Linked DNA regions of Arabidopsis thaliana. The protein of the gene in region 1 interacts with the protein of each later gene in a pairwise test. Each region holds a gene or a part of one and is shown on either strand. Other genes may lie near its edges.

What was found. The genes of interacting proteins can lie anywhere in the genome.
Region 2: the proteins of AHL1 (region 1) and AT5G10980 interact in a two-hybrid assay, tested with the Arabidopsis thaliana proteins (one large-scale study listed by BioGRID).

Annotation. Positions count from the first base shown.
Region 1 is NC_003075.7:7,236,504-7,243,700, forward strand, and holds AHL1 (AT-hook motif nuclear-localized protein 1), read left to right. Parts: upstream 1-2,696; 5' UTR 2,697-2,962; coding exon 2,963-3,437; intron 3,438-3,901; coding exon 3,902-3,969; intron 3,970-4,061; coding exon 4,062-4,193; intron 4,194-4,269; coding exon 4,270-4,431; intron 4,432-4,509; coding exon 4,510-4,743; 3' UTR 4,744-5,172; downstream 5,173-7,197. Other genes in the region: AT4G12090 (Cornichon family protein), read right to left, coding at 5,662-5,692, 5,796-5,918, 6,045-6,226, 6,350-6,421. UniProt on the Arabidopsis thaliana protein: Transcription factor that specifically binds AT-rich DNA sequences related to the nuclear matrix attachment regions (MARs). May play a function in the positioning of chromatin fibers within the nucleus.
Region 2 is NC_003076.8:3,470,953-3,476,734, forward strand, and holds AT5G10980 (Histone superfamily protein), read right to left. Parts: upstream 2,619-5,782; 5' UTR 2,398-2,618; coding exon 2,326-2,397; intron 2,068-2,325; coding exon 1,900-2,067; intron 1,810-1,899; coding exon 1,639-1,809; 3' UTR 1,453-1,638; downstream 1-1,452. UniProt on the Arabidopsis thaliana protein: Variant histone H3 which replaces conventional H3 in a wide range of nucleosomes in active genes. Constitutes the predominant form of histone H3 in non-dividing cells and is incorporated into chromatin independently of DNA synthesis.

The sequences.
Region 1 (7,197 bases):
ATTAAAATAAAATGCATAAGACTGAAATTTTGTTTAAACCAAAAATTATTAAATTAAAGATCAGAAAAATATATAGATTGGTATACAATATTCAAATATTATCGATAAAAAAATATTTTTCTATCTTACACCCGTCTAAATAGGCGGACCTTATCTAGTATATATATATATATATATATATTTTGTAAACGATTGAGTAAAAAATGTTTGGAAAAATAAAATGAGTGACTTAAAAATGATTAGAATTGTTTTAATTCCTGATAGAGTTAGAGAAGATTTATACTTACCAAAACAAAAGTTAAAGAACATTTCTTATTTGGAAATATTTTTCCAGATTATCACCAAGTTTAAAACTATTTTTATAATAATATAATTTTAAAGAAAAAAACGAGTCTTCTCCATCTGAATGGCTGTGTTTCTCAATGTATTTGGACGAATTAGAGAACGATAAAAAAATATTCACAGATTTTTTAAAAATATTGAATCTCTTATAACGTAAATGTTAAAGCGGATAATTTGACAAGAAAGGTTCATATCCAACCGCATTATATCATATATGTAAACAAAATTGCTCAGAAATGACTATATTAAACTCTAACTAATATCGGTTGACAACAAAATAATCAAGTACTTGATTCCATCAATTGAAAATTTAAGATTTTGATTTAAACATTAAAGTAGAAAATCTAAATAGAATTAAAATAAATACTTATAAAGTTATAATGTAAACTTCTTTTGCTTTCTGATTTTAAATGGGCTCAGTCAAATCTTAATAATATTTATCTTTTCCAAGAGCTGTATAATGATACCAAGTTAGGTCAGAATGCCGACCACAATTATAAATGAAAATTTTCTAAATGTAAAAGCCATGTGAAATCAATATTTTACTCCATTTCTTTTTAAAAGAGAATAAAATAAAATAAAGTCGCGGAGGAAATGCACATCGAGCACATCACTCTAATTATTTTATTTAACAGAAAAGACTTATTTAAACATGGTAATGAAAAGAAAACATTAGACGATTAATATATGGTTCGTTCTTATCTAAACTCTGGTTATTTTATTAATCTTCATTTTTCTGCGAATTAGATTTGGATTTCTATTGGTCAATGACTCGATGCTTGGTGGTCCCAAATAAAATTGTATTAAAATAATTTTACGATTCATGATTGCTTCCATTTCCTGTAATTTAATTAAAATTTGTGTTCATCAAATATTTTATACAGATTGAGAGAATTAAATGAACTTTCATTATATTATTATTAGCTAAAAGAGCCAGAAAAAAAAAAACTGAAAAGAAAAGAATATCTAGAAATTGATTTTAGTAGGTCAACATTATTTATATTTAAGTAATCTAAAACTTGTAACTGAAAAACTACGGATTAGAGTTTATTACTGCTGTTTTCAAATGGGCATAAATTAGTTGGGTAAGCTATAATTGTGACGAAGACTTTGGGAAATGTAAAAGGAAAGAAATGAATGTAAAGCAAACACAAAACAATACTCCAACTAATTAAAAGGGTTTGCAAAATAAAAGCCCTTCGGATTTCCACAAATACACGAAAGAATATAAAATGGTACTGTAGTAAATTCTAACAATCAGATTGGAATTCAATTTTCAGAAAACAATTTTATCGAATTAAGTGTTTAAGCACCCACCAAGTATTCCATTTAATTACTAATTTGTTAGTACCATTTTTTTTGTTATGCACCAAATTAATTACAAAACTCTATAATCATCGACACAGTCGACCTGGTGATCTACAAAACTTTAACTTTTATTCCGGTATAGGTTTTAAAACATTGAGTAAAAGTGAACATGTATTAGGAGATTCATGTTCGTCGTAGATAAACTTGACCAACACTACATATTAGTATATTACCATCTCTTGACTCGTTACATGTTTAAACATTTCAATATACCTAGGTTTTTAACCCATCATCGATCACGTTTATGTCCTATTGTTTGTTCAGTGGAAAGAATTGGGCTCTATGTCTTACATTGAAAATTGAAAGAAATGGATAAATTGGGAGTTAGATTTAGATGTTGGTTCTTTTAAGTTATTATAGTTATGCGATTTAATACGTTTTTGCTGGCCTCATATATTGTTAGATGTTAAATTAATTTAAATTATTTCCATACTAAATGATTTATTTATCATTTTAGCAGCCTAGTTTTACTTGTCCTTTACTCCAAAGCCCGATTATTAATTAAGGAAAAAGTATTTTTCAACTGGAGAAATTGAATATTTATAAATAAAATAAAGCACACGTAAAGAAAATATATTTTATTATTTTTAAGAAAACAATATACGCAGGCCATCTTTGTCTTTCCCAAAAAAAATTTAATTGAATTTTGTATACCCACTTTAATTTTGTCTACTATACTATTTCTTATTTTATTATGTATATTTATTAATTCCCTCCCATCGGATTCCAGCTAAAAACACGAATATCTATATATTCCTAAATGAAAATTTAATATAAATCCAGTGCGAGCTATATTAAAATAATCACGCTATTAAAGATTTCCTTTTCGCATTATTGTATAAAAGTAAAAAAATGGACAGACATAAACAAATCTTACAATATAAAAAATCATTATATAAAAAGATAAAATACCTTATTTAATGACAAGATAAATAAACCATTTTTTATTTCTTCAATCTAATTCACAAAGCATAAATAAATCTAATTTCCTTCACTTTCCTCTCCAACATTTTCTTATTTTCCTTCCTAATTTCCAACCTCTGTTCTTAGCAATATATTTTTTCTCCAAAAATAATTCTCAGTTTGATTTTCTTCTTCTAGCTCTTAAGTATATTTCTTTGTTGTTATTTATCTTTTAATCCTTTAATCTCATCTTTGTTTATCTTTAATCAAAACCCAAAATTTACATGGGTTCTTGAAAATCTAGAAGAAATAAAGGAAACATAACAAAAATAGAAAGAAAAAGAAGCTAATGGTCTTAAATATGGAGTCTACCGGAGAAGCTGTTAGATCAACCACCGGTAACGACGGTGGTATTACGGTGGTTAGATCCGACGCGCCGTCAGATTTCCACGTAGCTCAAAGATCAGAAAGCTCAAACCAATCTCCCACCTCTGTCACTCCTCCTCCACCACAGCCATCGTCTCATCACACAGCTCCTCCGCCGCTGCAAATTTCGACGGTGACGACTACGACTACGACGGCCGCGATGGAAGGTATCTCCGGTGGACTGATGAAGAAGAAGCGTGGACGGCCAAGGAAGTATGGACCGGACGGGACTGTTGTAGCGTTATCTCCTAAACCGATTTCATCAGCGCCGGCGCCGTCGCATCTTCCGCCGCCGAGTTCACACGTCATCGATTTCTCCGCTTCTGAGAAACGTAGCAAAGTGAAACCAACGAACTCGTTTAACAGAACAAAGTATCATCACCAAGTTGAGAATTTGGGTAATTATATCTTCTTTGCTCTGTTTTCTTCTCTGTTTTTTAAGAAGAGTATTTAAGAAAGAACAAAAGATAAAACTATTTTTATCTTGTCGGAATCTTGTTTCGTAGACCAATCTAACTCTATTGACAAAAAAAAAAAAAAATTTGGGTCTGGGATCTCATTTTCATGCATGCTTAAGTAAGTGGGGTCTCTGTTTTGTTTCTATGTTTAATTTGTCTATGGTTATAGATGTGTCCTAAAGCTACAAGTATCTACACATATATGTCATGTTGTTAATTGTCACTTCTTAAATGCAATACTAAGCTTAATTTAGTAGCAGTTTTATAAGTTAAACATGTTGGTCAAAATTAGAGATTTTTGTTTTCTACTTGGCTACTTAAATTTAGGGACAACAAAGTACATGATTAGTCAATATTACAAATTAATTAATAAAAATGTTCCTCTTGTGTTCTGTTATGTGTAGGTGAATGGGCTCCTTGCTCCGTCGGTGGTAATTTCACACCTCATATAATCACAGTCAACACCGGCGAGGTAATCTCATCGGAATTTTTCTTTAGATCTAGACATCAAGTCCTTTTTTCTATCTTTTACAAGTTTTGAATGATGTATTTTGGCATAATTAGGATGTAACAATGAAGATAATCTCGTTTTCGCAACAAGGACCTCGCTCTATTTGTGTTCTGTCAGCAAACGGTGTTATTTCAAGCGTTACACTTCGTCAGCCAGATTCCTCTGGCGGCACATTGACATACGAAGTATGTAGATTTCATTCTCATCGATCGATCAAATTTTTGTTGAAAGTGTAAGATGATTTATAGTGTTAATTTTCAGGGTCGGTTTGAGATATTATCATTATCCGGGTCATTCATGCCTAATGATTCAGGCGGAACACGAAGTAGAACGGGAGGAATGAGTGTATCGTTAGCAAGTCCCGATGGACGTGTAGTAGGCGGTGGCCTCGCCGGTTTACTAGTAGCCGCGAGTCCGGTTCAGGTACGATATTTGCCAGTCCAAAAAGCTGCAAAGTTTGTTAACCGGAGGATTTAATTTCCTTGTGTTTGAAATCAACAGGTGGTTGTAGGAAGTTTTTTAGCGGGCACTGACCATCAAGATCAGAAACCGAAAAAGAACAAACATGATTTCATGTTGTCGAGTCCTACCGCTGCAATTCCTATCTCTAGTGCAGCTGATCACCGGACAATCCATTCGGTCTCGTCTCTTCCGGTCAATAATAATACATGGCAGACTTCTTTAGCTTCCGATCCAAGAAACAAGCATACCGATATTAATGTCAATGTAACTTGAAATCCAATCTTTCTCTGTATTTTCTGTTAACAAGTTTGATTTGGTTGTTTATCTACATTAGGATTTTACTAAAATGGTAGTATTATTTATAGGGTTTTAGGGTCTTTATTTTGGTTCCACTGTTGTCACTTGTAGGATAATTTCTATCTTTTTATTAGGATTGAATCATCTTGTTTCCTTAATTTTTTGCTAACGAGTCATGGTCCTGGTTTTGCATGTCATTGTAGTTTCATATCCGTGTAAAAGAATACAAATTAACCACACTTGACTTATCTGAACGCGTAACATGAAAGCTATGGAGACTAATTTTGGAGTTCTAGATTTCCATCTCTTAATGTACACCTAAGATGTTTCTTATGATGACACAAGAACCATTATCCCTGGAGAGAAAGAATCACTATCTCTATTTCGACAAACCATCAAAGATTCTATTGACATGATATCTACAACATCTATAGTTCGGTGCACACTGGACTTGCTTCACTTGTTTCAAGAGGCACAAGGTCATATAGGGAGATCTTAGCCTAGAACCTTAAAATCTAAGGATCAAGAGTTCCCAAACATGTTTCAAAACTATCATTCACACTTATCACAGAAACAAACCGTCGAGATTACTTCCGACTTTACCACTAATCTGACTTCAATTTCAATGTATCATACACAAGCTAGCTACCATAACGATATACAGGGATACTCACTACACAGCAAGTTTGTGAAAAAGTAATCTTTCATTGATGTGCATTAAATTTGTACTCAAAAAAATAAGAAAATATAACGTTTCTGAATATAGCCCATAACAAAAATGCTGAAACAGAAAAATGAAGAACTACATAAACATCTTCGTAGTCACCAAAATCCATTAGGAATTCGATCTTAAAATGTAAAATAAATTGATGTAGTCCGGTGGTTTCTCCAACCTTAGATGTCTCCTAATGCCGAGTGGATCAACCTTAAACCGAAAAGTATAGAGAAAAATAACAATTTGGATTTAGCTTCGTAAACAATGGAGATATGAAAATTAGTAGTGATATATATAAGAGAAAGAAATGTACCAATAGGTTGTGATAAAAATGGAGAGAGCTATATGACCAATCTTGTACACTCGTTTCTTTTGCTCCCATTTATTTGTGTTGTATAACTCTGTTACGTCTGCCAAATGTTCCCTCTTCATGTATCTTTAACCGGAAATAACGAAGAGACATTATCAAATTAAACCGAACTCGGTGAACCAAATTACCCGGTTGGTTTCGAGCAATGAACAAATGAATGAGTAAATTGTCTAATTTGAGTATTTGACTTACAGTCTAATGTTGTAGAAAAGGTGGGGAAGAGACAAAACCGCCATGAACCAATGTCCGGTTAGGATATAGTATAAGCAAAGAAGTCCTTGTAAACCAAATTCCGGTAGAACCATTCGGTTTATTCTGCTAGATACATCGTAAGGGTTTATGCGATCGAACTCTAAATCTGCCAAACATGTCAGCTGCATCAAAAACAAAAAAGCAAATATTCAAGAAAATTGCTAAGAGAATTATTTCTTTCTCTATGAATTGGTTTTAACCACAAAACTATATTAGGGAATTAATTATAAGTTAGGGCAAAAAACCTGATAAATAACGATGATTATAAGCGTTGCGAGGAATAAGAAAGAGATAATCCAATCGAGTAGATCGCCCATCCTCCGCTGTCTTCCGCCGCGTTACAACGTTCAATCTCCGCCTTGCTTTGTCTCTCTAACGTAGAAATACGGACGGTGTTTTTGGTCAAAGCTCTGGAAATTGTAGGTATATTTATCAGAAAATTATACGCAATATATAAGAGATTAATTTTTATAAAAACTATTAAAACCCCACTGGATCTGGTTGGATAAAAAGCTACTTATTTATTCATATGCAAATATGATATTCCCATTTAAAGCATATTCGGAAGTTTGACTTTGGCATGAAACTCTTAATCTTATTTGATATGGTTGACAAAAATATTTTTGTTTCTTTACGATGAAATGCTTTTCTATGCAAGTAACCAATCAATGATCGTGCCTATTGCCTATTGGTCAAAGAAATTACTATCTTTCATCCATAAGCTACTTATCAGTTAAAGTGTTAAATCTGCAGAAATAGAATCGATTCGAAATTCGGAAACCACCATCTTTTTTTTTTAATAAAGAAAACAAAGAAGCTAAAGTAATGTGAATACTACTCAAATTCAAATAGCTGCGAGTTTTTTTTATTCGTATGTAAGTAAACTCTATATCCAATGGTTTGGGTTTCATATAAAATTGCATATATTTCTTAGCATAATGTTTTTGGGCAGCTGGTGGTCTTAACATAAAAATTGTGTCAACCGACCATGGCTTATTTGAATAGATGTATGAAATAAGAATATCCTTTATTAAAAAGCATATCCGTTTTATGACGTCCTTCAAATAATATATAAGGATAAGTTGACCAAATT
Region 2 (5,782 bases), on another chromosome or scaffold:
CGAAGTTTCAGTGTTTCAAATATTTAAGAAAACACATGATTGTGAACAGGTTTATGAATACTAGCAGGCAAAGATATTATGGCCAACCTGAATTTACCATTGTGCTCTATCACTAAAGGGCAACATAGAAGCCAAAATAACTCATAGATTGATAAAGAAATATAAATATTTGACACAGTTACACTCAACACCAAACGTTGGACAATACCAAATGTTGGCATATGAATCTGAATATACAGATTATCAAACTCCTCACCTAGAATCAAAGTAGAAGTATGTACACTTTCTTCCCAGTAAACATATAAGGCACAAGACAGATCATCATGTTTGTTTTCAGATACAAAATTGGCCACAAGCAACCAAAAAAGGAATGAAAACACACCTTAATGAATAAAACAAAGAAGAAACACCAAGGCAGACAATAACACATGTGGAATAAAAATCTAATGAACCCAAACCTCATTGATTAGCTCTTGGGTCCATTTTTCATCTACTTGTATGTATACCACAATTCTGACCCCATCAATACTCTTCAATCTCAGTCACACTTTCCTGAAACACACAGCAAGAAAAAAACGATATTGATGGATCAGTATCAGGTTGCTACCAAATTACATCCACATGTCAGCAGATTAATAGAATTAATCAATGCAAGTGAAAACGTATCCTTTATGATGCACTGTTTTCTCCTACAACGCAATGACCATAAGAAAAAAGACATCTTTTCATTGCAATGAGAAATTTTACAGTGTTCTCTTATTTTGCAATTGACACCATTGCTAAACGATACGAATATTTAAAGCTAAAGTTAAGTAAAGCATTTTTCATTTGCTCGGAGATTCAAGCATTTTGATAATCCGATTAATTCTACGGCAAACACTTAAAAAGCTGAACCAACAATCAACTTGAATTCGCAATGATTGGCACAGTAAAATTTCAATGAAATTAAGAAATACATTGGACTTGTGAACAGAAACCAGGCATTATTAAAGAAACGCCCACCTTCAATACACGTAGAAGACGGAGCAGTACCGGAATTTCGCCGGCGCTGACGTGAGGACTCCGAGTTTTTCGAACATGACCAAGTTAACGAAAATGTAATCTACAATTTTAAAAGGCCCAATAACTGGCCCATATAAATAAATTTTAAACAAAATGTAGCCCATATTGTCTCCAAGTAATTTGTTTTGTTAAAACAGAAAAACGCTTTTTTATGTCTCTTTCTTATCTGTTTTTCAGACCAAAGTTACGAAGCTCATATTGACATCGACAAGCCTTTTAAATTCAAAAAAAGAGAAGAGCATAATTCTGAATTTTGCGGCAACATTTAAACTTTATCGCAAGTTGGTTTTATCCAATCGTTCATACACACTATCCAATCAAATTCATATGCATCTTCGTATCAAAATTGTCAGTTTTTTCTGGGTTATGTGCAACTTGTGAATGAATTTTGCAAAGAAATCAACAAGAACCAATAACGGAAAGGAAAGATTTCATAACTGTTTGCTTAAAAGAGCTGTAAGTTCAACAATTAACACCATGTACTTGGTAAGCAAATAAAAGAGCGATAGGAAACAAGAATCCAGAATACTAATACATCATCGTAAAAATCTAAACTTGAATTAGGTAAATAAAAGCTTAAGCACGTTCTCCACGAATTCTTCTAGCCAATTGAATGTCCTTAGGCATGATCGTAACCCTCTTGGCGTGAATAGCGCAGAGATTAGTATCCTCGAAAAGTCCAACTAGGTATGCCTCAGCCGCCTCTTGAAGAGCTAACACCGCGTGACTCTGAAACCTCAGATCCGTCTGCAAAATTTAACCTAATTAGTATACCTAATTCCATAACATAACCTAATTGATAAGTTTTAATCCGCCGCTAATGAGTATAAATTTTACCTTGAAGTCCTGAGCTATTTCCCGAACGAGACGCTGGAAGGGAAGCTTGCGGATCAACAATTCAGTACTCTTCTGGTACTTACGAATCTCACGAAGAGCGACGGTTCCTGGACGGTAACGGTGAGGCTTCTTGACTCCTCCGGTGGTTGGTGCTGATTTCCTCGCCGCCTGTATTGAAGAATTCGTTAGAGACGCAATCGAATACTCAAATTAGATAAACCCTAGATCCCCTTCCAACCAATTTCATCATAAACAAAATCAAAACCGCAAGATTCATACTAAATTAGATCATAAACTAAAAATTCAACACAATATAGAAAACCTAGATCATATTTTTCAGATTTCGTCCACAAAAACTCGTTATTCAACCCAAATTTGAACCCTAGATCTACTATTTCGGTATGAATGAAAGATAGAAGGACAAACCTTGGTGGCAAGCTGCTTCCTGGGAGCTTTACCTCCGGTGGATTTCCTAGCGGTTTGCTTGGTACGAGCCATTGTTTCTTCCAAAAGATGTGACTTTTCGATAAGCTTGATAGAGAAGCTTTTGATTTGATTATCAGGAAGCGAGTTTTGTTTTCTTGATGATTGTGTGGGAATAGTAAAAGGTGATTATGATTATATAGGTGAATGTTTTAGTCGGTTAATATTAGGAAATACAGAAGTGGTCCAATCTTCACATTTTCGACGGTCAAGATTCGACTTATGAGAGCGAATACTGACGTTGGCGATCTGCGTCCTCGCTTCTGATTGGTTTAATCTTGGGAGGATCGATGACGTGGCTAGTTTTGTGTTTCTTTTCTACGTTTGTCGTTTGAAGTAATCACGATTTTAGTTGGGTTAGAAAAAAGGTAATGACGATTTGATCTACATGTTTGGTAATTAGCGATGATGGGCCGAGTCGTATCCCTTGGTAGGAGTACTGCGTTGGGTTCAGGCCCAACTGATAAGGCATTGAGAGTTCGTCAGCTGTGTTCTGAATATCGATCCGAACCAAATTTGGTACGGCCGCTCCGATCCGAGATTTCAAGTTGGTTGGGTTAAAACCATCACATATATGACATGGACATGGTTGAATTATAAGTTTATAACCTCATCATAATTAAAATTCGGTTTGGTATTAGAACATGAAAACATTCCAGCCCAACTCTTAACTAAAATCCGATCGACCAAAAAGTTGCTCATGCATGATATCGTGTTGAGTTAAATCTATTCTTAATTGGCTTTTATAACGTGAAAATGCAAGTTTTTAACAGAACATATGTTTTCCTGCTCCACATGTATCATAGATCTTTACAAAAGGTTTCTTTTAAAAAGAATTGGAGTGTAAGTGTGGAACGTTAACGAATTCACGTACTATACAAAAGTTGTACGGAAAAAGCTATATATATTTAATACCCAACATTATTCAAGTTTATCACTTCTGCTTATGGCCATTGAAGCCTAAATTTGAATGCACAAAATACAGTTTTAAGTTTTACGTGTTTTAAAATAAGAATTAAGAACGACATAAAGTAATTTAATCTCTCTGATGAAATGTAATTAGGTAACAAAGTTTTTCTCTTTTCCTAAGGGGGTGAGCAAATTCTAGTACAGACCTATAATAATCTGTCTAGTTAATATTATGTGTATATTTACTAGATGGATATTGTTGGTTCAGAAAAAGGCATTACACAAAAGATAGTAATCGATGAGATAGTTGAGTATTTTGTAAGAACAAGAGTTAGTGATTGATCCCAATTAAACCTCACAGTTTCAGTCACTACGTATGAACATGGTGCAAGAGGGCGGAAACAGACTGCCCGATGCCGATTCATTAAATGGATTCGATCTCTAGTACTTTTTATATTAGTTTACCAAAATATATACTTAAAAGAATTCACAGGACATAACAATTATACTGTAAACTCATTGCTGCATAGCAGCATTAATGAAAATATATATGCTTAAGAAGAGAAAATCAAACGAGAAGATCCTTAGAACTCAACAAGTAAGTGTTAGTAAGTAACCCATGGCCATGGGGAATGTATCCAAGCTTCCACATGCACTTGGATTGACCCAAGTTTATTTGTTTTAATACATACTATATTTTATTACCTTTGCATTTAATTCATATTTCCTTTGATATATTAACTTGACTGCAATATACAAAAACGATGTAAATTGATATTAAGCAAATATTATAACCAAATCACGTCACATGCAGACTATGTGATATGTAGGATGGATAAGTGGTCGAGGTTTGGAACTTTGGATTATTGATCAACCATTGTTTTTGATATTTGTCTGGATCACTCCCACACTTTATTTTAAGGTGAGAGTGGATAATTGTTTTTTTTAGTTACTGGAATATTGTGGGTTCTATGTAATTGGCCATATTTTATCCCATAAAAATGTACGAGTTAAGTATAATTTGAGAGACGATCAGATTCAAGTCTATTGAGAGACAATCATCAAGTTTATATTTTCTCCAAACATTAAACGAGAAATATTTTGGGTTCTTTGTTGGAGATGAAACGTTAGCGCACATGGCGGCGTGGACACATTCGTAAACTACAAAAACTAGTGTTTTGGTACGCCGCATTACATTATTGTTCGTCTCTTATAATATACTTTTGTTTTGATAGCAATAAACTTACTTATTTGTAAAAAATAAATTAAACTGATTTGCCTCTGGTGACAAAATCTTTAAAACAGACGATTATGTTTTGACTATATAGTATAAAATTAAAATTACATTTGTTTAAGTACATTTCCTCCAATTCCTGCTACGCATGCATGTGGTGGGTTTCATTTATTTTATTAACTAACCAGAAACCTCACACTTCCGTGCGCTGAAATTATACTAATCTTATAATGATATAATTTAGTATTCATTCAAAATTTGTATATTAACTTTTTCTCGAACATTTTTTTTTTGTGTTTAGTTTGAAGAATTGAAAACTTTGACCCAAGAGCGGCGGTTGTAGCTAGCCACTCCTTCGCATGTACGACCACGAACTAACTGATAACACTTTTTTACATCTTGAAAGTTGAAACATTAAACATTTATATCTTTAAATTAAATTGTATATACAAATATTTGTTTGCGATCTTTTGTTCGACGTGATATGTCCGGCTTATATGAAGTTCCCAATTATGGAATCGTTTAGGGCTTTTAAATTTGACGTCGCCTCCTATAAACCCAATGTTTTGCTGCTCAATATGAGATCTGCAGGAATAGAAACTTGCATATTTTGGTACGAGAAATAGCTACACATAATTTAAAGATATAAGACTTTGATATCATATAATGAATAATAAAGAGAGGAATGCCTCTTTTATGTGTCTCTAAATCCCAATGTGGTGTTAAAGTATTTCCAATGACTGCTCTTTTTGTCCAACACTCTTTAGTTTACATTAGCACATGCTATTATTTTCCTACCACATACTACAAATTACTTCTCCTTTTTTCAATACGTGACAACTTTTTTCTAACCATTATAAGTTTATTACATTACTAATCATTGACAATTTCATTCAATTATTTCTAAGCAAATTCTTTTGTCTCTAATGACTGCCAGTTTATCATGTTTTTCCATGATAGTCTCTCATTAGCATATTATAAAAAACCTACCTACGATTTTATATTAACCAATAATCAACCACTAAATTTCACATGTCGAATCCATCATAAATCAGACATATCCAATGCATCAAGAAGAAAAAAACACACAAGATCTTTAATGTTTCCTCATCTAAGAATCGTATCTAATATCTCTGTTAACATAATAATTAAAACTAATCTCCCGAATAAAATTAATCTAATTCATAATCACACACTATTCCTGTTTCATCCGTCGCAAGAAGCCAAAAGTAAGAACCAATGTGGTAATCTCGTAAT